Linked DNA regions of Astyanax mexicanus. The protein of the gene in region 3 interacts with the protein of the main gene of each other region in a pairwise test. Links are inferred from orthologs where the notes say so. Each region holds a gene or a part of one and is shown on either strand. Other genes may lie near its edges. The genes, in order: rpl9, kat5b, zbtb8a and lnx1.

What was found.
Region 1: the proteins of zbtb8a (region 3) and rpl9 interact in binary tests that used the Homo sapiens proteins (3 or more experiments, as listed by UniProt). The two-hybrid records come from large-scale screens. The link is inferred for Astyanax mexicanus from reciprocal best matches to the Homo sapiens genes ZBTB8A and RPL9.
Region 2: the proteins of zbtb8a (region 3) and kat5b interact in binary tests that used the Homo sapiens proteins (3 or more experiments, as listed by UniProt). The link is inferred for Astyanax mexicanus from reciprocal best matches to the Homo sapiens genes ZBTB8A and KAT5.
Region 4: the proteins of zbtb8a (region 3) and lnx1 interact in a two-hybrid assay, tested with the Homo sapiens proteins (2 studies listed by BioGRID and IntAct). The link is inferred for Astyanax mexicanus from reciprocal best matches to the Homo sapiens genes ZBTB8A and LNX1.

What each region holds. Positions count from the first base shown.
Region 1 is NC_064432.1:20,210,612-20,217,449, forward strand, and holds the start of rpl9 (60S ribosomal protein L9), read right to left. Parts: upstream 3,027-6,838; 5' UTR 2,967-3,026; intron 2,460-2,966; 5' UTR 2,459-2,459; coding exon 2,413-2,458; intron 1,630-2,412; coding exon 1,514-1,629; intron 1,430-1,513; coding exon 1,334-1,429; intron 705-1,333; coding exon 572-704; intron 138-571; coding exon 57-137; intron 1-56. Other genes in the region: lias (lipoyl synthase, mitochondrial), read left to right, coding at 3,716-3,808, 4,750-4,922, 5,345-5,438, 5,947-6,027, 6,633-6,789.
Region 2 is NC_064408.1:21,537,572-21,544,551, reverse strand, and holds the start of kat5b (histone acetyltransferase KAT5b), read right to left. Parts: upstream 3,004-6,980; 5' UTR 2,915-3,003; coding exon 2,900-2,914; intron 2,786-2,899; coding exon 2,719-2,785; intron 769-2,718; coding exon 700-768; intron 592-699; coding exon 455-591; intron 217-454; coding exon 148-216; intron 1-147. Other genes in the region: im:7154036 (fermitin family homolog 3), read right to left, coding at 6,842-6,980. UniProt on the Homo sapiens protein: Catalytic subunit of the NuA4 histone acetyltransferase complex, a multiprotein complex involved in transcriptional activation of select genes principally by acetylation of nucleosomal histones H2A and H4.
Region 3 is NC_064421.1:41,105,356-41,112,707, reverse strand, and holds the start of zbtb8a (zinc finger and BTB domain-containing protein 8A), read right to left. Parts: upstream 3,021-7,352; 5' UTR 2,755-3,020; coding exon 2,690-2,754; intron 2,643-2,689; exon of another isoform or gene 2,390-2,642; coding exon of another isoform or gene 2,388-2,389; intron 507-2,387; coding exon 1-506. Other genes in the region: gale (UDP-glucose 4-epimerase), read right to left, coding at 5,273-5,337, 6,760-6,874, 6,976-7,053. UniProt on the Homo sapiens protein: May be involved in transcriptional regulation.
Region 4 is NC_064408.1:64,611,354-64,619,109, reverse strand, and holds the start of lnx1 (E3 ubiquitin-protein ligase LNX), read right to left. Parts: upstream 3,027-7,756; 5' UTR 2,741-3,026; intron 1-2,740.

The DNA.
Region 1 (6,838 bases), on a different chromosome or scaffold from region 3:
GAAATTTGGCACTGCCTGTTTTTTTCATCATGTAAAACAGAAAAGGCCAATCTTACCAGAGTTTGACACCAGCTCAATATCGTTACCCTCCAGAACAAGCTCGTCTTTCTGGGCTGCTGAGAGCGCACAGTTCACACCTACAAATCAGAACAGACAATTAGATCAAAATGCTATTAAAGATCAGCAAAGTTTCTACAAACTTAACTCTGCATTAGAGGACATTGGCTTTTCAGTTATCCTAAAAATCAGAAGATGAACCAATATAATAGAGCTGGGTGTTTTGATCGAACTGATTGTTCTTGATCTTTTTCCAACAGCAAATCAGATCAGCTACTGAAACAGTCAAGCTATTATCCATCAAGACTATTTAACTCATTAATTTTACAGTTTGTAGATTAAATTCTGGATTAGCACACTGCCCAACCATTACACATTAAAATGATGGTATCAAAACAGAGCAGAACCAACCATGTGGAATTTCATTTATTTTTAAACAGTGGCTCGTCAGCAGAAACCTCTCAGTATAGCGGGATTAACAGACAAAAGTTAGCCAGCAGGCTAACAAATGTACCTGGCCTCATGCGGACACGGCGAATGTACTTCTCTCCCAGGAAGTTCCTGATCTCCACCAGTGAGCCACTCTCCTGAATCACCACGTTGATGGGGAAATGGGCATACACAGATCGCATCTTGTACCTGAAGCCCTACACAAAACACACATTCAAACAATGTTTACACATTTTTCATCAACTGAAACAAAATAACCCACACAATCAACAAATTAGCTAAAGTCATGTGACCTGGGACAAGACCATACGCTGAATGTACAAAAAATGAAAGTTACAACTACACAGTTATCATTGTTTCTGGTACACAACTGTTTGTTATTGAGTTTAAATAGAGTAATGCAATGTATGTTCTAAACCAAATGGAAACTTTCTAAACAACATTGTGCTACATCATTTTAAAGTCTTTCTTTGAAATAGCTTACAGTGTAGTGTCGCTTTAAAATGTTAATTTTATACAACAATTGTAACAGTAAATTGTTTGAGCACTACATTTTCTACACTTCAGTCTTGTGGCAGATAGTGACATTTATCATTTAATTTAAAAAAGCTGGAAACTTGCATTACACACAAAAAAAAACATTGCTACATTATATTCAACAAGATTATTATAAAAAAATGTATGCAAAAATCTGAGCTATCCCATCCACCCGTATTACAAACTAAAAATTTAACAGCAGACAAACACTGCTCTTTGGACATAATTTAAATAAGAATCATAAAAGAAAACATAAAACTTTGATATGATCCAAAACTGATGTTCTTACCATGGTCACACCCTTGATCATGTTCTGAACATGGCTGCAAATGGTTCTGACAGTGGCCAGCTCCTTCCTGTTACCCCACCATTTGTCCACACGCAGCTACAGAGGAAAACAGTCAGCCACACCAACACAACACAAGAACTCAGTATATTTACAAGTCAATTCGGTCAAGATCACCCTTACCTTCTTCTGCTTCTTGCCGAGCAGACGAAGCTCCAGGTTAATGTGGCTGAACTCCCGGCGAAGAGTTCCACGAGGACCCTTCACAGTGATGGTGCGGCCTTTTAGGCTCACATCAACTACGAGGACAGAAGACAAGAAATAAATGTTTGTGTTACCAGGCTATATGTTGAGAGAACTGAATTCTGTGTTCATGACTTCTGTTTATACAAAATGAATCCATCCCTTTATACATAGTACATTTAGCATGTTGTGGCCATATTTAGGGCAGGAAGCAGGGGTCAAATACTGCTTTTGTTTGCCCCAAGTAGTTTGACAGTCTTTTACAATTGGCCAGGAGGGCATGAGGAAGAATCAACCTCTAAATGACTGCATGTATACATATATATTTCTTTAGAGGTTTTATTTTAACGATAAGAAAACAGTCAAACTACATTGCATGCACATATTTACAAAATTACATTTATATAGCACCTTGACACTGAATGACATTTAAAAAACACATTTTACACACAACTCAACCATCACACACTGAAAAGTGAGAAGCAGCAGCCAATCACATAGCGCACACTCATTCGGAAACAACTGTCCACCTGGAGGACTGAATCAGGCACAGGTTGCCATATCTGGCCAATGTTATAGCATATGATACAACAGGGCCCACCCCTAAATTAGAGTATCCAATTTACCTGATTTCCAAGTTTTTGGACTGTGGAAAACTCCAACCAGACATGGACTTGAACCCAAAACCCCAGTCTTATAAATCTGCAGTCTTATAAGTAGTGATCCAACAGGATTCTCAGTGTTAAGATGAGGGGGTGTTTCAAACTGTATATAGCCAATATATTACCGTATACTAATAACTAATAAGTGTCAATAGTTGAATACAGCTTATAGCTTACCTTTGTCGGGGATGTCCACCGTCTGGGTACTGAGAATGGTCTTCATTCTGTGGAGGAGGACAAACTGGGGGTCAGCAAAGATTCAGACTCTTAAAAACTTGACTTGAACACAGACTACAGGACTCTACAAGACTCAAACTAGTTAGCAGTGGACTGCCGGCTACAGTAATCAGCTAGCTATTCACACGTATGTGAGCAGCCCAGCTCCACACAGACTACACCTGTAACTCTACAGCTTCTGCTCCTGCTCTTTACAGTTCTCAGCTCTCCTCATTACTCAGACGAGCGGCTCAGACCCTCGCCCGGCCTCCATCCCTCAGGCCGAGCGACCAGCACGGTGCGGTGGCTACCGGCTAACAGATAAACAGGGTCAGGCCGGGCGCTTCGGACGTTAATCCACACTAAACCGAGCCGCAGAGCAGAAATACACACATTAACTCTTCATCCGACACTTAAACTATATCATATACAGCCTGTAGCGCGGTGAGAGGGGCCACTACTGAGGATTACAGTGGATTTTGAAATCGAGGGATCAGGCAGCGCCATGTTCTTACCTCGCTGATAGAGGAGGAAAGGAAGGAGGAGCGGCGTCATGACGCAATTGTAGCGCCAACGTGCTGACATCACCACTGAGCGCGCAGACCAGACCGACTGATAGCGGAACCCAACGATTTTCGACAACCTGTTTTATATGTATACACACACATCTTTTTGTTTATATATAATATTTTATATTTTTTTCTGGTAAACTGCTAAACTTTATTTTCAATCGACTGATCCTATTTGGAAAGTGCTTTAAAACTTTCTTAGTCAACTGATTTTATTTATTACATCTCTAATAAAAAATAAGGTGTGAGTGTATTTGTTTTTAGATGTTCTTAATAGTTATTTTCTTATTTACATATATAGAAAAAAACACACAACAAATAGATAATTTAATTCACTAATTTGTTTTAATAATAGAGAGGTGTAAAAGACAAACCTAATGGAACAACTTCAGTTTCTGAATTTATGTTTAAATAAAATGAATATTGTTTTTTATTCTATAAACTATAGATAACATTTCTCCTAAATTCCAAATAAAATACTGTCATTTAGAGCATTCATTTGCAGACAATGAAAAGTGGCTAAATTAAGAAAAAAAAAAAAGAATTAACCGGGCAGCACCTAAAGCCAGATTTTATCCAGCAGATCTTTTATTTTGTTATATAATAAAAGTCCTAAGCGGCGTTAGCAGCGAGACGGGTAATCGAGCGCGGAGGGGCGGATGGTGTCAGTAGAGGAGGACTGGTCATAGGGAGTCATGGCGCTGGTGAACAGGAGCTGTGTGGCTGCGGGGCGGTTCTCCTGCTGTCAGCTGCTGTTTACCCCGAGATCCTGCGCTGAGTCCCAGCAGGTCAGTGGGTTATTAGAGGGTGTGAGTGGAGACCGGGGCAGTACCTGGGAACCGGGGGCCTTTCCGGGGCCGGTTCGGGCCTGTAGGTCAGATTAGAGACAGTGGTGACCCGCCGGAGGAGAAGCTGAGAACTTTCAGAACTGTGTTTTAAATGTGCAGAACTGTGTTTTAACTGTGTATATAAACTCTTCACAGTGTGTTTCAGTGCTTTAATCTTAATAAATAAACAGGAACACCGTTCCTTCGGGTAGCTCACTAACTAACTGGAGCCAATAATCCAAAGGTTAAATAAACTAGTTTACAGAAGAAGCAGATAAAATTAGGGCATCACAATAACATCACAATATATCAGCAGATTTTCCTTTTTTAAAGGTCTCAAATATTTTTTAAAAATATTATATATAACATTTACAATAACACCAGCAGATGACATGTCGCTCCAAACCATCACTGATTGTGAACACTTCACACTAGACCTCAAGCAGCTTGGACTGTGTGTCTCTCCACTCTTCCTCCAGACTCTAATTTTCAAATAAAATGCAAAATTTACTGATGGTCAGTGATGGTTTGGAGAGATATGTTATCTGCTGGTGTTGATCCACTGTATTATATCAAGTCTAAAGTGCAGTGTTTTCCTGGAAAATTTTACAGCTTTTAATGCTTCTCTCTGCTGACAACTTTTATGTAGATGCAGATTTCATTTTCTAACAGGACTTGGCACACTGCCCACACTGCCTGAAGTACCAATTCGTCTTATATAATATTAAAAATACTGATTTATGGGTTTTCATTGGCTATAAACCATAATCATCAACAAAATAAAATAAATAAATGCTTAAAATAGATAATTTCTATGTGTAATACATCTATATATCAGTTTCACATTTTGATCTGAATCTACAATACGTTATTTTAATTGCTGTTATTTTAAATTGTCACAGGTCCACATCAGTCGACTGACCAGTACAGCCAGTACATCGGCTACACTGCAGGACAGAAAGAAGGAGATTAAAGAAGACGGCCTGGAGCTGAAAGACTTCATATCAGGAGACCTCTCAGAGAAAGGCAGGTGGGAGGAATACAGGGGAAACCTGAAGAGACAGAAAGGAGAACGGTAAGTGTGTTAAGAGTGTGATTTGGTTTGTGTAGAAATAAAGGCTGAAGATGTTACCTTTTCAGTCTACGTAGAGATTATTGATGCACTGCATATTTAGCAACAATAAGTATTCGTCCAGTGGTGTGAAAGGGTCTGATTAGCACTACTGAGGTACATTTATTATTAAAATAGCACTACTGAGGTAAATTCATGATTAGAATTGCACTGCTGAGGTAAATGTATACTGGAATAGCACTGCTTAGGTAAATGTATGATCCGAATAGCTGTGCTAAGGTAAATGTATCCAGGTCATCTATTTTTGCACGTTAACTTTTACATTATTTTCCCTCTGGCACTGCAGAAAAATTTAAAACTGACGTCTTTCTCAAACTAAATCCTGTAAAATGTGACTGTTTAATGTGTTGTGGTTAATGTTGCAGGCTGAGGTTACCACCATGGCTGAAGACTGAGATTCCTATTGGGAAAAACTACAACAAACTGAAGAACACTCTACGAGATCTCAACCTGCACACTGTGAGTATCTCAAATTAAAGAAAAAACATTGTGTTTTTTTTTTAGAGTTAATGTAGTGTAACCTGATAGCAGCAGTCCTGGGGCTGATGTTAATTGGCTGAATCTGGAGGCCAATCTGTGTTCAAGTAGGCTGCACAAATTAGGAAGAAAAAATACATTTGAAATAGTTTCTATAATAAAATCTGAAAATTGAAAATTGCAATCACACAGTATTAAGCAACTTGGATTAATTTGTTTAGATTATATGTGGAAAAACTAAGTTAAAAGTTAACTAAAGTTAATTTTTTTATTACTGGGTAAAACCCTTCTTTATTACTTCTGGTGTGCTGGAACATGACTTCCCCTAAGGTCAGACTAATGCAAAAAATCTGATTTAAGTCTCTTCAGCTTTGTAATATAAACACGGGCAGCCTTAGACTCTGACCTGATACATTCTGAACTGCTTCATGTCCAGGTTATATCAAGTGCTCTATTTGTTTAGTAATTAAAACATTGCTGTGTTTTGTAGGTATGTGAGGAGGCCAGATGTCCTAACATTGGAGAGTGCTGGGGGGGTGGGGAGCATGCTACAGCTACAGCAACCATCATGGTAAGTGTATTATCATGGACAGCTAGCCAAATTGTGTCTCAAGTTATAAGCTTCTGATTGTTGTTTTAATTACATTCAGAAGAATAGATACAGAGATAAATGCACACAGGTGCATAAAGGTTTGGTTAACGATTTGGAAAAAAATATTTTTGCATATGGATTAGAGAGAATGTGAATCAAATATAAGCATGTTCACACTGGAAGTATCCGGGATCTGACTAGAACCGTCAAACTTAAAGGTGTCCTTAAGCTAAAATCCACTTTTTCTTGTCCTCTGTAAAATACAGTGAGTGTCTCTGAGTTGTACATGTTAGCAGGGCATTAACATGTTGTAAAATAACATATGACATTGCAAAGACTGTTATTAGTGTAAAAATGTCAGAGGCGATATATTTGCATGTATGAATTTTTATAAGCAAGAGCCAAAATCTTTTGGGCCCTCCCACCCACTCCTCCACAGGACTAAAGCAGTGTTATACCAGAACACCAGAGCCCTTTTTTTCCCCACAAAAACCAGCTCACATGGCATTCATTCATACTAGAGACCACACTGTGGCAAATGAGGATTTATTATATCTGTGCTCTCTCTCTCTCTCTCTCTCTAGTTAATGGGGGATACCTGTACTCGTGGCTGCAGGTTCTGTTCTATAAAAACAGCAAGAAATCCTCCTCCTCTGGATCCGGATGAGCCGTACAACACCGCTAAAGCCATCGCTGCCTGGGGGCTCGATTATGTGGTGCTCACTTCAGTGGACAGAGACGGTGAGACAAAGTACACACAGACACACACACACACAAAACACTCATTTAC
Region 2 (6,980 bases), on a different chromosome or scaffold from region 3:
CCCTCCCACTTCACGGAAAGTGTCAGAGAGGATCCAATTAGGGCATTTCAAGAAACAAGTCATTGTGAGCCCATTCATACAACTTTTAATATGGTAACTCAAAATTGTGTATTTTTTTGGTGTAGAATGGGCAAGGGTTAGCTGTACCGGTGTGGGGAGGGTTTTGCCTCTGGAAGGAGCTGAAGCAGCTTGAACGTTGAGATCTAGACTCTTCCTCTGAATTTGAACAGAAAGGAAGAGAACAGAGTTAATGGGTAGAAGTCATTTAAACACCTGTGCATGGTAATATGTATTTATTTTTTGGCAAGATTTCAATTCTAGCATCAGTTTAAACAAAATTCAATGAATAAATGCACAATTTTGTGGAAAAAACTAGGGACCAAAGCTCACACCTATAATTTGGCCTCCAGAACATTAAATGTAGACATTAGAGGGCAAGTGCAGTCTCTCTTACCACTTCTCTTTCTGGTGAACTGGGTCGAGACCCAGGTAGTCCATTTTTTGTGGGTGTTTTCGCCTCCTTCTTTGGAAATTGGAGCTTTTTCATGTCCAACCTGTCCGGAGTGACCCATTCATCCAGACGCTTGTTAACTACAAAGAAATGACAAATGCCCGTGACTGAACTGTCAAACACTTTTTTCGTTTGTTTAAATTCGTAGCTTTATGAAAGCAACACACTTTAACATGAAATGTACTTACAGTCAATGTAGTGAACATAGAAAAGCTTCCTCCCAAGTGTATCTTTGACACTGAGAATTTCAGCCAGTGCTAGAGAAGATAAAATATAAAAAAACAGACATTACTGAAAGATTCCAACAGTATTTTGTAATGCCACTATGGGCAGTTTTTTTTTCTTTTTGTAAAGAGAAACCAGGATTAAATGAAAAATTAAATCCATCTGTACACCAGAGGTGATGAGGCCAAACATGCCTCTAAACCCCATATAACAGAAATCTACAACAGAAATGGTTATACTGATGGCACCTGACAAATTATTTTAGTTCTGAGAGGTTCTTATATTTTACTTTTACTAATTATAAAGGAATTTGCTTACATTCCAAATGCATAATTTTGCAGAAAAAAAAACACTAAAACTAGAACCTAGAAGAAACTATCCAATTGGATACACTAGGTCAGTTTTATTCAGCTACACTTAAAACTTCTATTTAACAACTAAATACAGAATGACTTTCTCAGTTAGTCAGTCTTTACCTAAAACTCAAGCCTGCTCAGTGGGAGAAACAATAAAGCCCATTCTTAGTATGTAGTACCAGTCAAAAGTTGAGACACACCTTATCTCATTTAATCTTTTCTTTTTCTTTATTTTCTTATTTTATTTACATTTAAAATGTAATATTGAAGTCTAAGGCATCTAAAAAACACTACATTTACTTTGGACTTGATATAACACAGTGGACCAACACCAGCAGATGACATAACTCTCCAAACCATCACTGACCATCAGTAAAGTGGGTAAACAGTAAACAGAAAATCAAGGGACCAGAGTCTGGAGAAAGCGTGGAGAGACACACTGTCTTGAGCTTGAGGTCTAGTTTGAAGTTTCCACAATCAGTGATGGTTTGGAGATATGTCATCTGCTGATTTTCATTTTCCAGCAGGACTTTTATTTGCTGTAAGCCATAATCATAAACAATAAAACACACTATATATAATATATGAATTTCACATTTTTACTAAAATAAAATTTGCACTAGTAATTCAATAGTATTAAAGCTATACAGTAACACACACAGAATGATTCTATAAATAAAACGTGTTAAACAAACCAGAATACATGTTCTACATTTTTACTTTTCTACGTAGACACATTTATCTTTGAGGACAGATCTAAACACTCTTGGATAAGTCACCTGGATATGTTTTTAAAGTCTTGAATGAGTTCCTGGAGGTGATGAACAATAGCTGCTGCTTTTCCTTCGAGCTGTGAAGCTCCAGCTCATATTAAATAACCATCTCAGTTGGGTTTAGGTCAGGGGATTGTAGAGGATAAACACTTTTTTTGTTTGTTTACTTAATAATTCCCTATCACTACTACACTATTGTCTTGTCTCCTGTCTCAAGTATTGTCTATATCTGTGACCTTGTTGTATTGTACATTTAGTGTCTCTCATTCTTTTATATTTATAATTTTATATTGCTGTAATTTTGGGAAGAAGAGTAACCTAATTGTAATCCTCTGTATGTCGTGCACATATTTAATATGTACAATAAAACTACTTGACATGATATTAATCTACATTAAAATATTTTTATAGAGAATACATTAGAGAAAGTAATAAAGCAAAACATTTAATGAGAAGGTGTGTCTAAACTTTAGACTGGTATTGTACAGTTCTACAGTCTTCAATTTTAGCCTTGTTTTATATGCTTTACTCAGGTGTTTTATTTTATAGCTAAACGCCCTCAGGACAGGTAGTTAACAGGTTACCTAGGTTATCTAGCTATCTTGGTTAGATTAGTAAGGAGCTTTCCTTCAGTTTAGGTTAATAAATAAACGTTAACAGATCATGACAGCAGAGATAAAAGACTGAATTCACTCCGGGTTCAGTAAACATGTCCTCAGCGGTCTGATTTTTGGAGTTATTCTCGGATTTATCGCCGCACGGTTGTTGGAGCCGCTCTTTGTTTACATGCTGCTCCGCCATGACAGCGCGTTAGCAGCGTTAGCGGCGGCGGCTGAGAGCGGACGGTACTTACGCCACTCGTCCTCATTTTCTTGATTTTTCCGGAGAACAGGGAGACGGCAGCCCTCCACGATCTCCATCTGTGGATAGATAAGATATTAAGGTATTTAACCAGCCTCGGTGAGACAACGTAATTCTGATGTAATCGCTCGTTTAGAGGAAAACTATAACCGGACCCTCCATAAACCACTCACCGATGTGTCCGCCATTTTCGTCTTCAGCGCGCTCTCTCGCGAGACGTCCGCGGGGCGCGAGATTACAGTGATGACGCGGATGAGCTGTTGAAGATGATGTCTGACAAACAGCTTTGTGAAGCTGCTCAGAAATGTTACATTTACCCGGTCCTGTGTAAGTGTATGAATTTAAAAAAAAATCACATTTATAGACCATTAACAGTACTTACAGACACAAACCTTCCCCTTAGTTTAACTGTTCTTTCATTTAAACAATCTGTACAAATACAAGTCTGAAAAATTAAGAGACCACTTCAGTTTCTTAATCAGTTTCTCTGATTTTTGCTATTAATAGTAAAATGAACATTGTTGTCTTTTTCTATAAACTACAAACAACATTTCCCTCAAATTCCAAATGAAAATATTGTCATTTAGAGCATTTATTTGCAGAAAATGAGAAATGGCTGAAATAACAAAAAAAATATGTATGTTTTTATGTTGTGCTCTTGAATGAATTGTTCATAAAAATGTTTCATTCAGTAAATGTAAAAAAAAAAAACTCTTTTGTGAAGCTGTTCAGAAATGTTAAATTTACCCAGTTCCAAGTGTATAAAGCTTGTATAGAAGATTAACATTACTTTTAGACATAAACTGTTCCCTCAGGTGTAGTGTAGCTTTAATTGAACAGAGAAGAAAATAAATGTAGTAAATAAATATAACAAATTGACTGGTCATGTATAAAATTCTGGTACCACTTTAAAATAAGACTACCTTCATAAAGGGTTTATAAATGGTTCACAGTTAGTTTATTAATGGTTACTAATTAGGTTGTAAATGCCTTAAAATCATTAATAATCAGTTATAACACATATGTAGAAAGGGCAACAATGACCTGTTATTGGCCAAATAATGAACGCACAGTTATCTATATTGTTGCCCTTTCTACGTATGTGGTTCTACGTACCAAAATCCTTAAACTAAACTAGATAACTAAACAGAAAACTAACTAACTAACTATTTCTGTTACAGTTCACACACCAACCACAAACCCTGTCTTAGTCATCCTGTCCTGAGCTGCCTCGAGGTGCCCTTTTTTGGTTCCAGTTCCTGCATTCTGGTAACAGGCCTGTCCCAATTACAGCAGGGTTTATACACAACCATTCTAAAATCCTTTTCTTTTCTGCATTTCTGTTCTATCTCTTTTGCATGTTCTGTTGAGCCTTGCTATTCACTGCCCTGCTGCCCTTTGCTCTGCTCTGGAACTTATAATAAGGATTCAAGGAGACTTTATTGTCATAACAATTAATAATCTATTTCTATATTAGCTATATCTCCCCATTATCTCTCTGTACAGTTGTTTTTGTTATGTTATTTGTTTGTGCTGTCAAGGTCAACCAGAGGACAATGGGTTCCTCTTACTGGGTTTGGGTACCTACCAAGGTTTGTTCCTCTTAGTTTGAGGGAGTTTTTTTTCTTGCTTAATTTTGGGGTGTTTCTGTTGGTTCATTCATTATAAAATTTAGACCTAATGTAATGAAACAACAGGCAGATATATCAAAAAGAAAGAAAATTAGAATGGAATAGATATGGAAACACAATGTGCATTTTTTATGAAAATTTACCAAGAAAAGGAAAACATAGTTAATGACTGGCTTACCCAATAATTTACTTGGCAGTAAAGTGTGGCACGGAGGTGAAATGTTTCACACATTTTCAGATAAAACATATCTGATCCAAGCATAAAGTTAAAAAGGACAGAAGGGGTTTGGAGGCAGATGGATGGCATCTGCTTAGTTTGGAACAGTTTGCTAGTTCACAGCAGGTATATTGGCTGGATTCATTCAGACCGGGTATTGGTTGGAATAATTCCTAGTAAACTTTGATTCATTCAGAGCTGGCATTGGCTTCCTTCATTCAGAGTGGGCACTGGTTTGATTCATGCAGCGTGGGTCCTGTTTTAATTCATATAGTGCGGGCCTTGGATGACTTGGATACTTTCAGAGCAAACATTGGCTTTATTTATCATTCAGAGTGGGCACTGGTTTGATTAATTCAGAGTGGGCACTTGTTTCATTCATTCATAGAAGTAATTGGTTTCATTCATTCAGAGTGGGCACTGGTTTGAGTCATTCAGAGAAGACACAGGTTTCACTCATTCAGAGCGAGCACTGGTTTGGTTCATTCAGAGGAATCACTGGTTTCATTCATTAAGAGCGAGCACTGGTTTGGTTCATTCAGAGGAAGCACTGGTTTGGTTTATTCAGAGTGGGCACTGGTTTGATTTATTTTGAGTGGACAGCAGGAAATGTCCCTATATCTAACTTAATTTTAAATCAGATGTTTGGAGTCATATTTTTTATCTTTAATATAAATCACATTTTTGAAAAATAATATATTTTACACACATAACACACTAGCTTTTCATAAATTGCACACATGAGGGCGCAGTCTGCTCTTTGCACCTGGACATACTGCAGAAATTGTGGTTTTCCTGTGCAAACCCACAACTTCCTTCACTTTAGTAGCTTCTCAGTAAGCTGCAGGATGAATAACACTGTAACTGTGCTGTGCTTACAGAATAGACATTAAACCAATTATTTACATAATCTTATTTTGGACTATGTTTCAGGTGCACGTTATGCGTTTTTGTAATATCACATATAGCAAAGAGACAAATTATTATGATCTACAGCCTACACCAATGCTCCAAGAAACAGATCCCGTGCTTCACAATTGCCCATTAGTCAGTTTAGTCAGTTTAGATGGATATGCACCAAACTGGTGTCCAACATTATGCTGATGATTTGTGGTTCTAAAGATACTCTAGTCTGTTCTAGTTATCTAGTTATAAAAATCTGGCCCTTAATAAAAAATGGTGCACCTTATTTTGGCCATTTATCCCACATGAATCAGTGTTAACAAGCACCAACAGGTAAAGTTTAAATTATCTGCCCGAACCCGACCCGAGGCCCAACCGAAATCAGGCCAAGATTTCCCAGCACTTTTCTCAGGCTGGGTCGGGCTTAGGAAAATAGTCTGTGATGTAGGAATCTGTTTTTAATGCGATCTTTATTTTATATACGGTGTGATGATCACTAAATAGCTAATTAACAAATTAAACTGTTTTTCAAATACAAATCGCACAAGTTAGAATGTTATAATCACACAGCAGTTCCACTTTTGTCCGCTTTTGACTTGCAGCGCTATGTGTAGCTGTTCCTGATAAACATTTTCCTTAAATAATAGGACAAACTAAAAAATGTTGGGTTTGGGCTTGGGCTCATAATGACAGTTTATGGGGCGGATCGGGTCGATTTTTTTTATGGGCCCGATGTAACAGGTACCAACAGGTAAATTTCCATCTAGCATACTGTAGCCATCTTGTTGTTACAAGATAATCTATCTTATTTCCTTCATTTATTTCATAATAGTCATCATGTTTTGGTTCATCTGTGTCAAACATTATTGAAAATACCTACTGTTCTTTGTTGTTCAGTGTAAATCTGTGGACAGACCTTTTGATTAGATTAGAACATGCTAAGCAGAATGGATCTACACAAAGCAACTTGACACTGGCCCTTAACCCAGTGCTTCATGGTTTTATTAATGTTTGCATGCTGACAACACCTTCATGTTTGCTCTAAAAAGTAATGACGCAGCTGAAACAGTTTAGTCCACATTACTCCAAAAAACTCATGACTATCCAGTGGATAATCAATAGTGTTGGGTTATAAGGGCTGCAGTAAAGCATATCAACATTTTTGACATGTAGCTGTTTCATTTTCTTAGCTGTTATTTAAAAAATCTAAATTGTTTATTGTCTCTTGAAAATGTTGATCATAAATTCCTTCAGGGGCAGGCTGAGACTTTTTCCAAGCCAGAAAAAAGTTCTTTCTGATGTTTCTCAAGTCTCTCTCCATTTTTGTGTTGGTAGTAATCTTTCTGTCTCATCCAGAGCTTCTCTTAGAGAGCCTCGTGGCCTCCTGTCAGTTTGTGGAAGAGCTCCTCGTTCAGTGTGTCGTTTTGCTCGCGGCTCCGGGTGGACATGAAGATGTAGCCGCCGATGTACTCGTGCACGATCTTACAGTCCGCTGTCACGCAG
Region 3 (7,352 bases):
CTGTGCTGACCTCGCAGGCCGTGGGCTCTTCACTGCCATCCTCACCACCGTCTCGTGAAGCGCTGCCATCCGACAAACACAGGTAGCGGCTGTCCTCCTCCTTGGTGCTGATCTCCAGGGAGGATTTGATGAAGGACTTGCAGTAGGCGATGACGTCATCCATCTGCAGGTAGCTGGCCGCTGACATCACCTCGATCATATTGGTGCTGTTAAGCTCCAGTTTTCCAGAGTACACAAAGTCCAGGATGATGGTAAAGATGTCGGGGCTAAAAGCGTCAAAGGAGGCACTGACGGGCTCCAGGCTGCTCTTGGCCCCCTGGGAGAGCAGCATGCGGAAGTAGCCGCTGCTGCCGAACAGGACGTTACGGTGTGCCCGGAAAAGGTGCCCCTCCACAAGGATGTTGCAGTCACAGAAGAGCTGCTTCCGTCTCTGTTGGTCCAGCTGTTTCAGGAGGCAGCACTGGTGATTGGCTGATATGTCTGCACTCGTGAATTTGTGGATCAGCCTGAAATAAGAAAAGATGCAGTTAAAGATGGCATGATTAAAAATTAGCTGGTTTTAAAGAAATATGTTGTGAAATTAGAGGTGGACAATATGCCCCTAAAATAATATCACGATATTTCAAAAAACATTACTCCTTGCTGAAGGCCTCTGACAACAGACTAATCCTGTCCCCTTTTTTAATTATTAAAAAATATTCAGACATCGAATTTCAATATATAAAATATTTTTATGTTCTAAATAATGCTGCATGCCATCAGCAGCCAGAGTCCAAGAAAGCATAATTGGCCATGCTCTCTTTGGAAGGGTAGATGGTGCTTCTCATTGATGTCAATTGAATCTCCATGCTTGGTAAAAAACTATGGGCAATATCTACATCAGCAAAAATAATTGAGGTCATGTTCATATACTTTATGATAGGTTGATAATGCCTTTATAATATTCCATATAATAATAATGTTATGTGACAAGTCTACCACAAACCATCATACCCACACAAAAAGAGCAGGTGTGGACCAGTTCAGCAATAGAGAAACCACATCTTACAGTAGGTACAGATGCAAAATGACCAAAATATATATAATTGATATCAAATTTAGCATAGACACAGCAGCTAGCCTTGGTTAGATAAAGTATGTTTTGCTGTTTGATATAAGCTAAGATATATGATATATGTTGATATTGAATTATTGTCTAGTCCCACTTGTAATATAAAAGACAATAAAAAATAAATTATAAAAAATAATTATTATAGTATATGCTTGTTTTTAGCCACCAACGTTAAAATCTAGGTATACAGAGTCAAATCGGCTCAGCCACAACATTTCCACTGAAGTGCTCCAGACCGTGGATCATAATTCACCCCAGCAGCCCATTTCTGGGTCATCCTCTCCCCTTCCCAGATCCTTTGTTCCATCCAGAAAGGAAAAGGGCTAAAACAGACACCCCTGCTTTCTGATTGGCTGTTACGTCTGTCAGTCAAGCGCGCTGGCTCTCGAGGAGAGAGCCGCACCCCGTGTTATTTCCTTTCCCACCTGTATTGCGACAGGTCCCGCCCCCTTGATGCACTGTGATTGGCTAATAGAACAGGACTGAAAGTCATGAGTGCGGCATCTGCTATAAGCTCCTAGTGCTGTCAATTATATTCCTAAAATGGGTGGGGACAAAAATAACACACACACCCCCGTTTCTCCCAACGGGTAACAGAATTTAGGATCGGGGTGGAGGTAAATAAAAAAGGTCGGGTGGTAAAAATCAGAGAAAAATAATATATATATATATATTTTTCTCTATCTTCTTTTATTTTATAGATTTTAATGTATATGATTAAACCTTGTAATCAGAACAGACAAGCACCAAAAATATATTCTATTTTTTTTTTACCAATATCTTACAAACATATTTTCATTTATATTTCATTATAATAAGTTAATAATTAGCTATAATATTTCGCAATTGATGTTGAAAAAGAGGTCAATCCCACAAAAAAAGAAAAAAACGAGCACGCCCGCCCGTGCTCCATTAGAGCAGCCTACACCCGTTTGAAAGGCGAGCTAAAACTAGCTTCTAACCTCCAGGACCTGGATAACGCTCACTAGCCATAATGTGTGTGTTTTTCCTCAGTTAATAAGACAGACGAGATAAATGTGTGGAATATTTGCCATAAAATAAGCTAATAATGTGGAAACGGGCAGCCGCTGGAAGCCCTTCATGTTTGAGCCCATCGACCTCCTTCCCTCCCCCTGTTCTCTACTAACTGCAGCAGCTAAACAGGAAAATACAGTAAAATACTGTGTCCACGGCACTAAATGCAACATTTTGAGCATTATCAACGAAATAAAGCGAATAAACGCCCATATTAAGGGTTTAAAGAGGGTGGGCTAACATGCAAACCACGCCCGGGGTGGTTCAGGGACTTAGCTCGGCTCCCACAGCCCGCGGTTAGCCCTCTTCTTCAGCGGGAGATCCTGCACTGCGCAGCGGCGGCGCGGTGCTCTCTCCCCGTGCGCGGAGCTCCGCCTAGCCCGCTGACTCCCTCCTGCCTGACCTCCGCCCGCCACCCACCTAAGTCCGCTCCGGCCCCGCTGCCTGCCTCTCTCTGCCTCTCCCCCGTCTCACACTCCGGGGCGGCTGTGCCCCTTCCTTCCGCCCCCTTTCCTCCAACAAAGCGGCATACAGCATACTCACTGCTGACCCGGCTCGCTCGGGGTCCGGTACGGTCTACTCGTCCCACTTTCGCAGACCATCTCCATGTCTTTAGGCTACTTTGGTCGGTTTTAGTGGTGGTGCTGTTTCCCACCCCCTCCAGCTTTAACTGATCACTTCCTGCTTAGCCCGAAAGACCGAAACCCGTTAGTGTGTGTGTGTGTGTGTGTGAGGGGGATAAAGCCCCCCACACGGCTCTTGCTGACGTGGGTGTTCAGAGAGCCCGCCAGGGCTGTGGAGCCACTTAAAGCACAAGTGTCCTCCTCCACATGCCCGCTCTCCGCTCGCTCCAGCCCGGCCACTCCACCCGACCTCTGCGCCTCTAACCCTCCCGCAGGAGACCGACCGCACCCGTCCGAGTCGTCCAATCTTACCTCGATATCAAATAACATTTAATAAATGTTGTTGTTTTGTATGCATCACATCTGTCAATGTTGACAATGGAAAAACAACAATTAAACAGCCTGGTATTAAAAACCTTGAATAAATGTTATTGTTTTGGTTGCATCCCATCTTTTAAAGTGGACAGAAGAAAAATTTAACCACCCTTTATTTAACATTGCCTAATATAGGCATTGGTTAGAGTGTTGAAATTCTGACAATTAATCGAACTCATTCAGTTTGAATAGTTAGAGCTCAGAATATACACCCACAATGGATAACACTATTTGTTTTAACTAATAATATTATTATTAGTCCCTCAAAACGTTGAGAAAACTATTTCAGGTGACACTACCTCATGAAGACACTGAGATTAAAATAGCAAGACTGTAGAATGCATCTTGAGCACCTGCATTACAGCCTGGTTTGGGAACTGCAACATCTCAGATCGCAAGACCCTACAGCGGACAGTGAGGACAGCTGAGCAGATCATCGGAGACCCTCTCCCCTCCATCACCGAGATCTACACCACACGCTACATCTGCAAAGCTTATGGACGACCCCACCCATCCCTCACATGTACTCTTCAGTCTGATGCCGTCCGGCAGAAGATACAGGAGCTTCCGAGCCTTTACTACCGGACTCTGCAACAGCTTCATCCACCAGGCAGTCAGACTCCACAACACACAGATCTGAACTAAACCCCCCACCACTCTTCACACACAGAAAGACTCAGCACACAGAGACTGAAATGTTTCTCTGTGTTTCAGTGTCTCAGTATCTTCATCCCTATCAGCAATGTTTGCTGCTTCTACCAAAAAAACACAAATTCTCTACATCAGTAACTGCTGTGATCATGTATGTTCTATACGTTACAGCATGTTAAATTCCTCTGCACCTTATCCTCACTAGAACATTTAACTTTACCGTGATGGTACTGCACTGTCTTGTCTTTTAAATTGTCTCATCTATTGTATTTATTTGATTTATTTTGGTGTTTTAGATTTATGTTGCTCTTACGTTACACTTTTGCAATTTGTTTATCTATTGTATTGTTGTAGCTGTACCAGAAGCTCTAAAAGCTCTTGGTGCAGATCTAGAGTGTAAAACCAGGGTAACCTAGCTGCTCCACCTAGTAGGTTTAAAGTTAGAGACAGAAGCTCTGAATCTGTTGCTGCACAGTTTATGATGGTCATCCTTTAGTCCTTCATCAGTGCAAACAGGATGCTGTTGGTGGACTATTCTCTGTCCAGCAGTGACAGTGAGATGTTTAAAAACTCCAGCAGCACTGCTGTATCTGATCCACTTATGCCAACATACACACACTAACACCTCATACACCACCACCATGCCAGTCAGTATCACTGCAGTGCTGAGAATGAACTATAAAGTGCCCTGCCAAAAATGAGAAAATTGACAGTGGGAGGAAAAACAAGGCTATCATCATTTTATATTTTATTAGTAATTATTGAATGAAGTAATACTGAACTGGGCTCATGTGCTGAATAAGAGCTGAATGCTAGAGTAATTCAGATCAACTTTCATAATAAATTTGGGTTTAGGCGACGGATAGAATTCACAGTTAGGTTAACAAACGTATTATTAGTAATTAACTAGTTATTCCAATGCTGAAACGTGGGCATAACACATGTAATGGCTGAAATACACAGCTTTATAAATGCACAAGATACAATATATATTTTTTTGTAAATCCCTTTTATTATGAGTTGCAAAAAAGCACCTGTTTTGGTCTTCTTGTATTTGGCTTCAATGCAGTTATAAAAGAAGTATAGTCAGATGAAAATAAAACAATCCCTTGTTTCCCAAAATAATTAAATTATAATTATTTAAAGAATTAAGTTAATCAACAGTATTGACAACATGACAAGGTACAAACAGAAAGATATGCAATGAACTTGGCCCTGGAAATGTTAAGTTAAGAATGGATTTGAATAAAGAAAATACAGGATCAATAAAGACACATACTAAGATTGGTCAAAGAGACAAAGGCTTGCTAATAATAATTTAAAAGTAATCAGGTAGAAACAGTACTGTAAGGAATGTAAATCATTCATTGTGTCATTGTTTTCATAGATTTCGTCTAGTTTAAATCAAGTCGTAGAAAAGTAATGGACTTCATGGCTCTAGGATCTTCTTCTCTTCAGTCTTCCTTCTGCATCAGCTTCACACCACATTCCCATTACTGAAGCCTGTGGGATTTTGGGACTGCCAGCGCCACAGGTCTTCACCTGTCAGAGCAAATAAACAGGAAATTGCATCATCAAATGTCAAGACGAAAAACTGAATTTATTTCCAGTATACAAATTTTTTCCAATAGGGAGTTGTTGGAATGGAATGGAATTTTATATGTGTAAATGTAAAGACGATATATGTATATGTAAGTGATTACAATTTTAGAGAGAAAGGATAAGTTTATTGGGGAATGCATACAATCCACTGAATAGAATCCATATCAATCCCATTAAAAGAAGGCTAGCTTAGATACAATATAAAATACAGTGGGTAATACAGTAGGAATACAGGTTCTGCATGGCATCCTGAAGCGCATTTAGCTAAAGATGTTGCAGTTGGGCCTGTAGATCGTGTACATTTTAAGGATGTTGAAGCTAGAATACCAGCTGGATACCACACAGGACTTGGATTCTCCATGAATGACAATGCAGTGCCACTCCGTAGCAGTCCACGTTTCACAGTCCCACGGCAAGTAGGGCTGCATGATATATCGTTTTAAGCATCGTCATTGCGATGTTAGCATTCGCAATAGTCACATCGCAGGACGTGCGATGTCACTTAAGGCAATTAAATCAAACACGTCATGTTGCAATGTTTTGATTCTTGACACAAGAAGTAGATACACAGCGTCGTCTCTGTGTCTGTGTAAATGACAGGCTGCTGCTGCCTAAGAAGCTTGAGGGTAACTGCATGGCCTCCATCCACATGGTTGGGTATGTGCTTGTAAACGCACGTGTCGAAAGCTGTTCGCCTCAGTCCAGCACAGTTTTGCAGCGCAGATATTTCCAGTTACAGCTGAATTCTTGCTTTTAAACCCAGAAAAACACTCATATTTATCTTTTACCTGCCTGATTAAAGGGCCGATTACTGTTATTTTGCTGTTTTCCTCAGGTTTTGAGAGCTCGGCACTGACTCAGCTCTTGATCGCTCCGGAAGCACGTGGACAGCACGTGGGTGGGGACAGGGCTGGTGACATCATGGACGCTGCATTGTTTAATATCGCGATAGAGATAGTCGAAAAAAGCACATTTTTGCAATGTAATTTTCCAATATCATGCAGCCCTAACAGGAAACAAGATTTCAGTGGCTAGCTGAAACTAGACTAGGTGGAGTAGGCGGTATTCAGTTTATCAAAACACCTAAATGGGCAGAATGTCTATGACTGTGTTGTAGAGACATGTCTAACAGTCAATGATCTAGAGATACACTACCTAAAGCATGTCTTATACACCCTGTTTTGATAGGGCAGCATTTAAAACACTTTTACTACTAGTGCCATTATTACAATTATTTACATATCTGCCTAAGACATAACTTTAGCAAGCAATCTTGATTTCGTTTTATGATTTTGTTAATAGATGTAGTACTAACTCCTCTAGAGACAGAAATTGAGTGAAACCCATTGAATTTATACGTACACATTCTCTCCAGGCCAAAATCAGCCTTCCATCCCAGCTCCTTCTCAGCCAGGCTAGGGTCTGCATAGCATGACGCTATGTCTCCGTTCCTCCGGGGAGCAATCTTGTACGCAATCTGCCACAAAAAAAAGGGCAAACCCAAGACATTTAGGAACTTTTAACTTGATGATTACAGAATGTCTACAAATGGACTGTATGGATCTGAAATGTACACACCTCATTTCCAGAAGCCTTTTCCATAGCCTTCACCATCTGCAGCACAGAGTAACCAGTTCCTGTACCCAGATTATACACCTGCAGAGAGAGATAGAGAGAGAGAGCAAGAGTAAGTAACACACAAGAAAAGACATAGAGACAGAGATTGAGAAACAGAAATTGAGAAGAGATTGAAAAAAAGAAGAGACTGGAAGAGAATAGATTAGAATGGAAAAAACTGACATATTGGAAGATAAAAGAGCAGAAAAGAAGGTATGGAAAGTCATTAGGCAGAAATAGAGGAGACTGAAAGAGGAGAAATTAGAAGACAAATAATGAAGAGTTTGGAAGAGAAAAGAAAAGAAGAGACCCGAAAAGAATGGACTAAAAAAAGACTG
Region 4 (7,756 bases), on a different chromosome or scaffold from region 3:
AAGAATAGAACAATGTGAGTTAACATTGCCACAGAGAAACATAAACATCTCTGACAGCTGCAGTTATGAAAAGGTACTGAAAAGCTGGCAGACAAACTGGTATTGTGACTGTTCTGGCTGCAGGCGTCACTGCTCATATTACACAGGTACAGGCCTGATCTCTGAGCCTCCACAGCACTAACAACCTCAACTCTCTCTCTACCTTCACTCTGATGAGTTTGGAAGATGTGGAGAGAAGATTAAACACGGACGTCTCCGGATGTTTGATTTGAACAGCTAACATTAAAGTAGACTCTTCCACTCTCTCTTGGGCAGAAATGTGTGTATCTTGACTTTATTTCGAGACAAGGATTAAGTGCTTTTCTACCACAAGAATGTATCTTTTTGCAGTTAATCATCCAGTGAAGTGCTTCTCTTTGCTAAAGTATGGGAAGATAATCTTGCAGTAGGTGTCTATAAGTGTAACACACAAACACACACACACACACAGCCAGATACACACATTCAGATACACACATTCAAACACATAGAGGACATGAAGAGCATTAGAATTCATGAGAGTGTGCCATGGGTGTTGCATCCACATAAGTAGTTCACATCAAAGCACCATATAGCAGGGCATATGGCGAGTTATATAAGAGTGTTTTAACATAGGCCTACAGAATGCCCCCTTTTCTCTGCCCTCCCCCAACTTTTCAATTTTCCTTCCTCCTATCTACACTCCTTCACTTTCTCCAGTGAACATTCCTATACTTTGGGTTTGAGAGAAGAGCTGGATTATATATCAGGGATTTGTTAAAGGTGCTTGAGGAACAGAATAGTTAAATAATACGAGTTTTGTAAAAATCTATAATACTAAATTAGTTCCAGTAAGTTCATATAGACTGTTACATAACAGTATTGGTTTATTTTATTTTTGCCCCAGCAAAGGCACAGTACTTTCAGTGAAATGATATTAAGGCTAATAACAATGGTTACTTTGAGAAAATATGGAAACAAGACTAATTAAAAAGGTTATAATTGTTTTTTTGTTTGTTTGTTTCTTTTTAACACAAAACGTCTTCGTCTAATTGTGAGATAAAATAACATTTAATTTATTTAATTAATTGAATTACTTTTTTAATGTAATTTCCATGTGAAATGGGATCATTGAGATTTTACATCTTTACATATAGAAGTTGAAAAAGGGAATCTCAATAGATACACATTTGTTTCTGTCAGACACTTATAAAGGACATATTTTTACACCTTTGTTTACACTGTTTACTATAAAAGCTGCATGTAAGGTTGTTGGAGTCTATTTATTAAAAATAAATTAATTAAATGTGAAGTGAAACAAAAGCTTGTGCATTACTTTAAAGGTTGCTTTTTGTTTACAAATAGAAAAAAATAAGTTATTGTGCAAAGAACAAAAATGCAAATCTTATTTGAGGTTTGCTTATATACAGATCTGTTAAAAAAAATAAGAGGTAACTTAAAAATGATTTTTTGGGGGGTTTTCTCAAATTAAAAACCTCTGAAATATAATTAAGAGGAAGATGGATGATCACAAGCCATCAAACCAAACTGAACTGCTTACATTTTTGCACCAGGAGTGGCATAAAGTTATCCAAAAGCAGTGTGACTAGTGAAGAACAACATGATGTCAAGATGCATGAAAACTGTGATTAAAAACCAGGGTTATTCCACCAAATATTGATTTCTGAACTCTTAAAAAGTTCTGAATATGAACTTGTTTTCTTATTATTATTTAATGTCTGAAAGCTCTGCATTTTTTTTTTATTTCAGCCATTTCTCATGTTCTGCAAATAAATGCTCTAAATGAGAATTTTTTTTTTTTATTTGGGAGAAATGTTGTCCGTATTTTATAGAATAAAACCACAATGTTCATTTTACTCAAACATAACCCTATAAATAGCAAAATCAACTGATGTAGAAACTGAAGTGGTCTTTTAATGTTTTTTTTCCAGAGCTGTATTTGAAGAAAATTGAGGGCTACTCCCAACTCAATGCAAGAACATTGTGAGGATAAAAGCAATAACTAGTTTGAGAGAATAAGGAAATATGGATAACATAAGGCTAAAAGCTAACAGTGGGCTGACCAGAGAAAGAGATTAGCTGGAGCTGGTAAGGTGAGAGGGTGCTTGGCTAAAAGCTAACAGAGTGGCTTAACTTCAGCTAGCTAACTGCACACAGTGCTGGCTGGACACCAAGGGGGCAACAGCACTTTCTGGTATAACATGCAGGAAAAAATACAAAATTTCAATGTCATGTTTTAGTGCTGTGGTTTCTTTTATCCTATATTCGATACCTTTTGTGACATAGAGCAGCCGATTAAAGAGCTTATCATAGCTTATCATAGGTTACAGTGTAAAAACATATACTGTGTAAGTACCGGTATGTTTTATTCGACGTCAAGGTAACAGGGTTGTAAATAGGCTTGTTAGCATACACACACATACTGTATTATCTTTAAAACTGTATTATCTCTAAAACTGTTACATAACTATCTTGGTATTGCTCCAAAATGTCCCACTTGCCACCTTTATTATAAGACTGAAGATAAGCTTTGCTTTCGCTTTACTTCTACAGGTCTGAGAAAGAGATAAAGCAAGAAAGCACCATTACACAAGTTAGCAGTGAGTGAAAGTTAAAAAGTGATAGATTACTGAACACAGAGCGTGACGGCTGGAAACAAAAAGGTTCACAAGTCCACAAGCTTTCAGCTGATCAAACTTACAGCGCATTCAGTTTGTTCTCCCGCCTCCTGCTGTGTCCTCCACACCTCACCTGCACAGGTAATCCTAGAGGCTACTGCCGGCCCAGAGAGAGAGAGAAAGAGAGACCCTGAGTGATCTCAAGACGTCACGCCTTCTCCTTTCCACAGTATAGATAGAAGAATCCACTGCAATTTCCCTTTTCTCTGTGGCAGGAAGAGTGTGCCCTGGGTATGCAAAACACAGCCTTTCTGCCTTTCTGTCCGCCTGTGCTGCCACACAATTCACACACTCACACACACCTGACATAGGAAGTCTCCATTCAAGGGGGTGGAGCCACAGAGGAAGGCAGGTAAACATGAGAACTGCCCAAACCAGCTCTGGAGCTACCGGTAAAAAAGACACACACACACACATAGACACACTTAGACACACACAGACACACACATACAGACTGGAGTAAAGAGTAACAGAAACAAAACAGGCCTTTGTATTGGCTTTAATTATTTAATTGACTATTACTTTGTAATACTATTCAAATGTAATTAAACCATTGTAAGATAAATGGCATGAACTTAAATGTTGGGACAGTATAGAAAATGTAATTTTGACTTTTATTTAAGTATAAACCATTAGGCTCTCTATGTTGCAAAGGGCCCCACAAGTTAAATAAGTTTCAGTTCCACCTTAAATGCTGACTCTACATGCACACAGTCACACTAACAACAGCTTATTTACTGATTTTGTAAATCTAAATTTTTTAACAGTATCTGGACAAAATTCCTGCACTATTAAAGCTGGAGAATAAACAGCCAAGCTGGCTTCCGTTTCTTCTATTCCACCTTAAGTAGCTATTACAGAATTAATGTTCACCAGCTACTTATTTGATTGTTCTGTTCCACCTTAAATAGTGATGTTTATTTGGTAACACAATAAGGGTCACAAATAACAGTACTTATGACAGTAATAAACACTAATAAATATAGTGTAAAAAGTAATGTCTGAATGAATTATAAATTGATACTAGTTAAGACGTTATTAAACATTAATAAATAAATTGAATGCTTTATAATGTTATAAATAATAATAAATTGAGACATTAGTTAAATGAATGAATTCTAGCTATTCCACCTTAAAATCTGCATGGTTACAGGTGTTCATATTGGGCAGTCTAGAGGCAGTATATGGATGTAAAGGGTGATTGCTACAGTCCTCTTATTATCATTTTAAACTAAGACCATGCTTATCCAGTCTCTTAGCGTAATCAATACTAAAGATTGAACTGAATGGAAACAATTAAGGGACACATTTGGTAATTTGGGATGAGCTGGAGCTTCACAGAGTGAAGGAAAAGCAGCAGCTGTTGTTCAGGACCTTCAGAAACTCCTTCAAGATGCTGAGAAAACTGTTTCATGTGACTCTCCCTCATAAAGACACTGAAATTAAAATACAGTGTCCTCAAAGCTTAATGTGATACTAAGAAGAATCTAAACTATAAAACATGTTCTGGTTTGGTTAACATTTTTTTTAACAAATTAATTCCACATGGGTTCCTGTATAACTTTAAATATTAAATTTACAATGTAAAAAAATCATAAAAAGAAAACACATTGAATGAGAATATACTGTATATTACCAAATTACATGAAGCTGAGTGTAAAAAACACAACATATATTGGGTGAATTCTGTCTGCAGTCAAATAAAAAGCAAAGCATATATAAGAAACACAGCTTTTTATATCACACTTCCCATATTGACCCAACGTTTTCTGACCTAAGGTTGTACAGCTACATTAAATATTGTCACTTTCAGCAGGTTTATTATAATTCTTATAAAACTCCAGTGAAAACATTTCTCCTGTGAGTAAGATTACATGGTATACCATTGCACACAAACAGATTTTACAGCCAGTTTTACAGTTTCTCAGCAAGGTTTGTGCTCAGAAACCTGCAGGTTTTAACATGTCACTGGACAAAAGAGCAGCTAAACCTGCACAAATTCCAATGAACGCTTTGCACCAAACCAGTGCCTATATCTAATGCATACAGTAAGAGCAGTTAGGGATTATGAAGTTTCATGAGCTTGATTTTAGAGTGGTTATTCCACTTCATGACTAGACACCTCTTGCTCTCACGCACATAATCAGGTGTTTAGCTGTGTGTGTAAATGTGTGTCATATGCTGACAGACACTAAATGACGTATTAATGACGTGCTAACTTTGTCACTCCTGAGTGTCGCTCGAATAAAGCTCTGCTGTTGTCATTGTCTGGGAACAAAGCTACCAGGAGAAAGAACCCTTTCTATGTATACAACCGTATTTTGCGCACCATAAGGCGCACTTAAAATCCTTTAATTTTCCCAAACATCATCAGTGCGACTTATAATCCGGTGCACCTTATATATGAATTTTATTAGTCAGGTTGTAAGGAGCAGTAAAAAGCCACTCTGCTGAAGTACAGCCTTATACAGGAGTTTCAGTTTAAAGTTCTCCAGCACCAAGACTGAAGCAGCATTAGCATTAGCTGCTAACCATGGTAAGCGCTAGCTCTTTCGCCGCTCAGAGGTGAGTATTATAGGCATGTAGTCTGCTGCTAACCCCAGCTAGCACTGCTGGAGCAGCATTAGCATTAGTCACTAACTGCGCTAGCTCTTTTTATCATGTTAAAACAAGCCACATGGGATGAACCACTAGCTAACATCATCCTGGCTTACCAGAACTCTCAGGGTTCCTCAGTGTAGCGCTGTCGAGAGGAATTAGCTGCTAACCGTGGCTAGCCTTATTAGAAATCTGGAAATCTAAGTTTACTGTAAATAAACAGATGCGCATAACTCACCCAAATAAACAGTTTTCAGGAGAGAATTCTGTGTAGATTAACATCCAGCACTCGATTGACTTTTTTTTTGAGGAATTACAGTTTTGTTTACTTAGCTTAACTTTACAGGTCTGCCGAATTAGAAGGTAAACATGGTGACACATCTGTTCCTTACTAGTGTCGCTTAATGCGCCTTATAATCCAGTTTACCTTATGTATGAAAACAGACCAGAAAATAGATATTAATATTGAATTCAGTGCACCTTATACTGTGAAAAATCCGGTAAGTGTAATGCACCTGTCTGTTTTTTTAAGGTCAAAAATGTCTAAAGCAATGAACGACCACCAGTTTTTCCATTGACCAATATGCTCTACAATATACTGACTTGACAAATGTCATGGGACAGGAACTAATATCAGGTCCCATTCTTTCGCCATGTTCCATAAAAGCTAATGTACGCTGCAAAGAGCTGTGGGATATGCATGTGGGGCCTCATGCATTGAATGTGGAGGTGGTTTCTAATTGCATATCTGTTTACATGGACATTTCCAGCCAGACACCGCAGGTCACGATCATTAACGTCCACTGTATTGTCCACTGTGGGCGGTAATGCCTTTAATGGTGACTTTAGAAATGGAATGTACCATCCACTGTTAGGTCTCACTTAAACTCCAGTCCAGTGTTCAGCCTTACTCACAAGAGATTACCTGACAACTTATACAGAGGTGGAGAAGTACCAATTAGTCTCCTAAGGTAACACAAATCCCACCAGCCTGTTGAGCAATGGAACTGCGTTCTATAAAGTGATTGAGCTCCATCTAATACCTGTGGGGTGGGATGAAGTGGGGTTTGTGATCCAGCACTAATCCTCCAATGTCAGCCCCGTCTTATAAAAGCAATGAAATCCTTACAGTAATGTTCAAATATTTACTGTGAATCCTTCTCAGATGCTGTTCCTGCAGCAGAGGGGAAAAACAGCTGTGTTCTGTATCTGAAACAGATCCACAAGCCAAGAAACAGCTCAATCCAACATCTTTTATATAGTGACAGATAATATATCACCAACCAGAAAGCTCATACTGTGTATGTACACTGAAAAAAACTGAGTAAAATTTACTTAAAAAAAGTTTTGCAACTTTCTGCATTTGCTTTTTTAAAGTAAACTTTAATTTGAAGTAAATTAATTAATATGCTTCTTGGCCATGTCTTTTGAAAGTAGCACACTTCTAGTATACTTTGTTGTATATAAAAATATATTTTAATATACTGTATTACTGTACTGTATAAGTTTTGTTTAAATTAGTGGTAATTTAATTTACTTTCTAAAAAAGTTACATGCACTTTACGTTACATTGCATTTTAAGTGAACTACTGTAACAGTTGTTTTTAACACACTTTTCTAAAAATGTACAAAAGCATATTTGGAAATACGTATTTTAGAAGTATATTGAATTACATTAAACTAACATTGTGCTTCATAGTAGTCTATTTTTAATACACTATATTGTACTTTTTAAAAAGTATGATCAAAGCGTGAAAGCATAATGAAAGCATAATAATAATAATAATAATAATAATAATAATATTAATGTACTTTAAATATATTTTAAGTACGTACATGAATCTGTTGAATCAGAATACTGAGGCATTTCTCAATATGTCTTAAGTACAATTAAGTATATCCTTTTTTTCACCAGTGTTTACTATTCTGAATTGGCCACATTCTATCAGTATATCTTCAGTGTTGTCCCATAAAAAGACATAATAAAATACAAGGGATTTACTCACTTTTGTAGGAAATTAATTTATAAATACTTCTTTTTTTTTTTTTTACTTTTTATTATTTAATTATCAGTCAGCATCTATTTAAATCCCCGAAACATAAACACTGAAACTACCTGCATGTCCTTGTGAATGAATGTTAAAAGGTTTCAGTTTCAGCCTCCATATCAACACGCTCTTTATATCGAAACTGTGATAAGCTCAGATGCTTTTAATTTATTTCAAAAGGCTTCCTGGCTGGCCTGTATCGGTTTGATAAGTTGTTACATGTTGTGGTACTTAGTTTTGTATCAAAATCAAAATGAAAAAACATATTTTTGGATTGTATCATGGAAATGCCAGAAGTCATGGGGCAGCTGTTTGTAAATTGATTATGTGTGAAGTGTTACCACAGGAGATGGCTTAAGAATAAACTCACTTGTGTAAGTTTTGAGTTCTTAA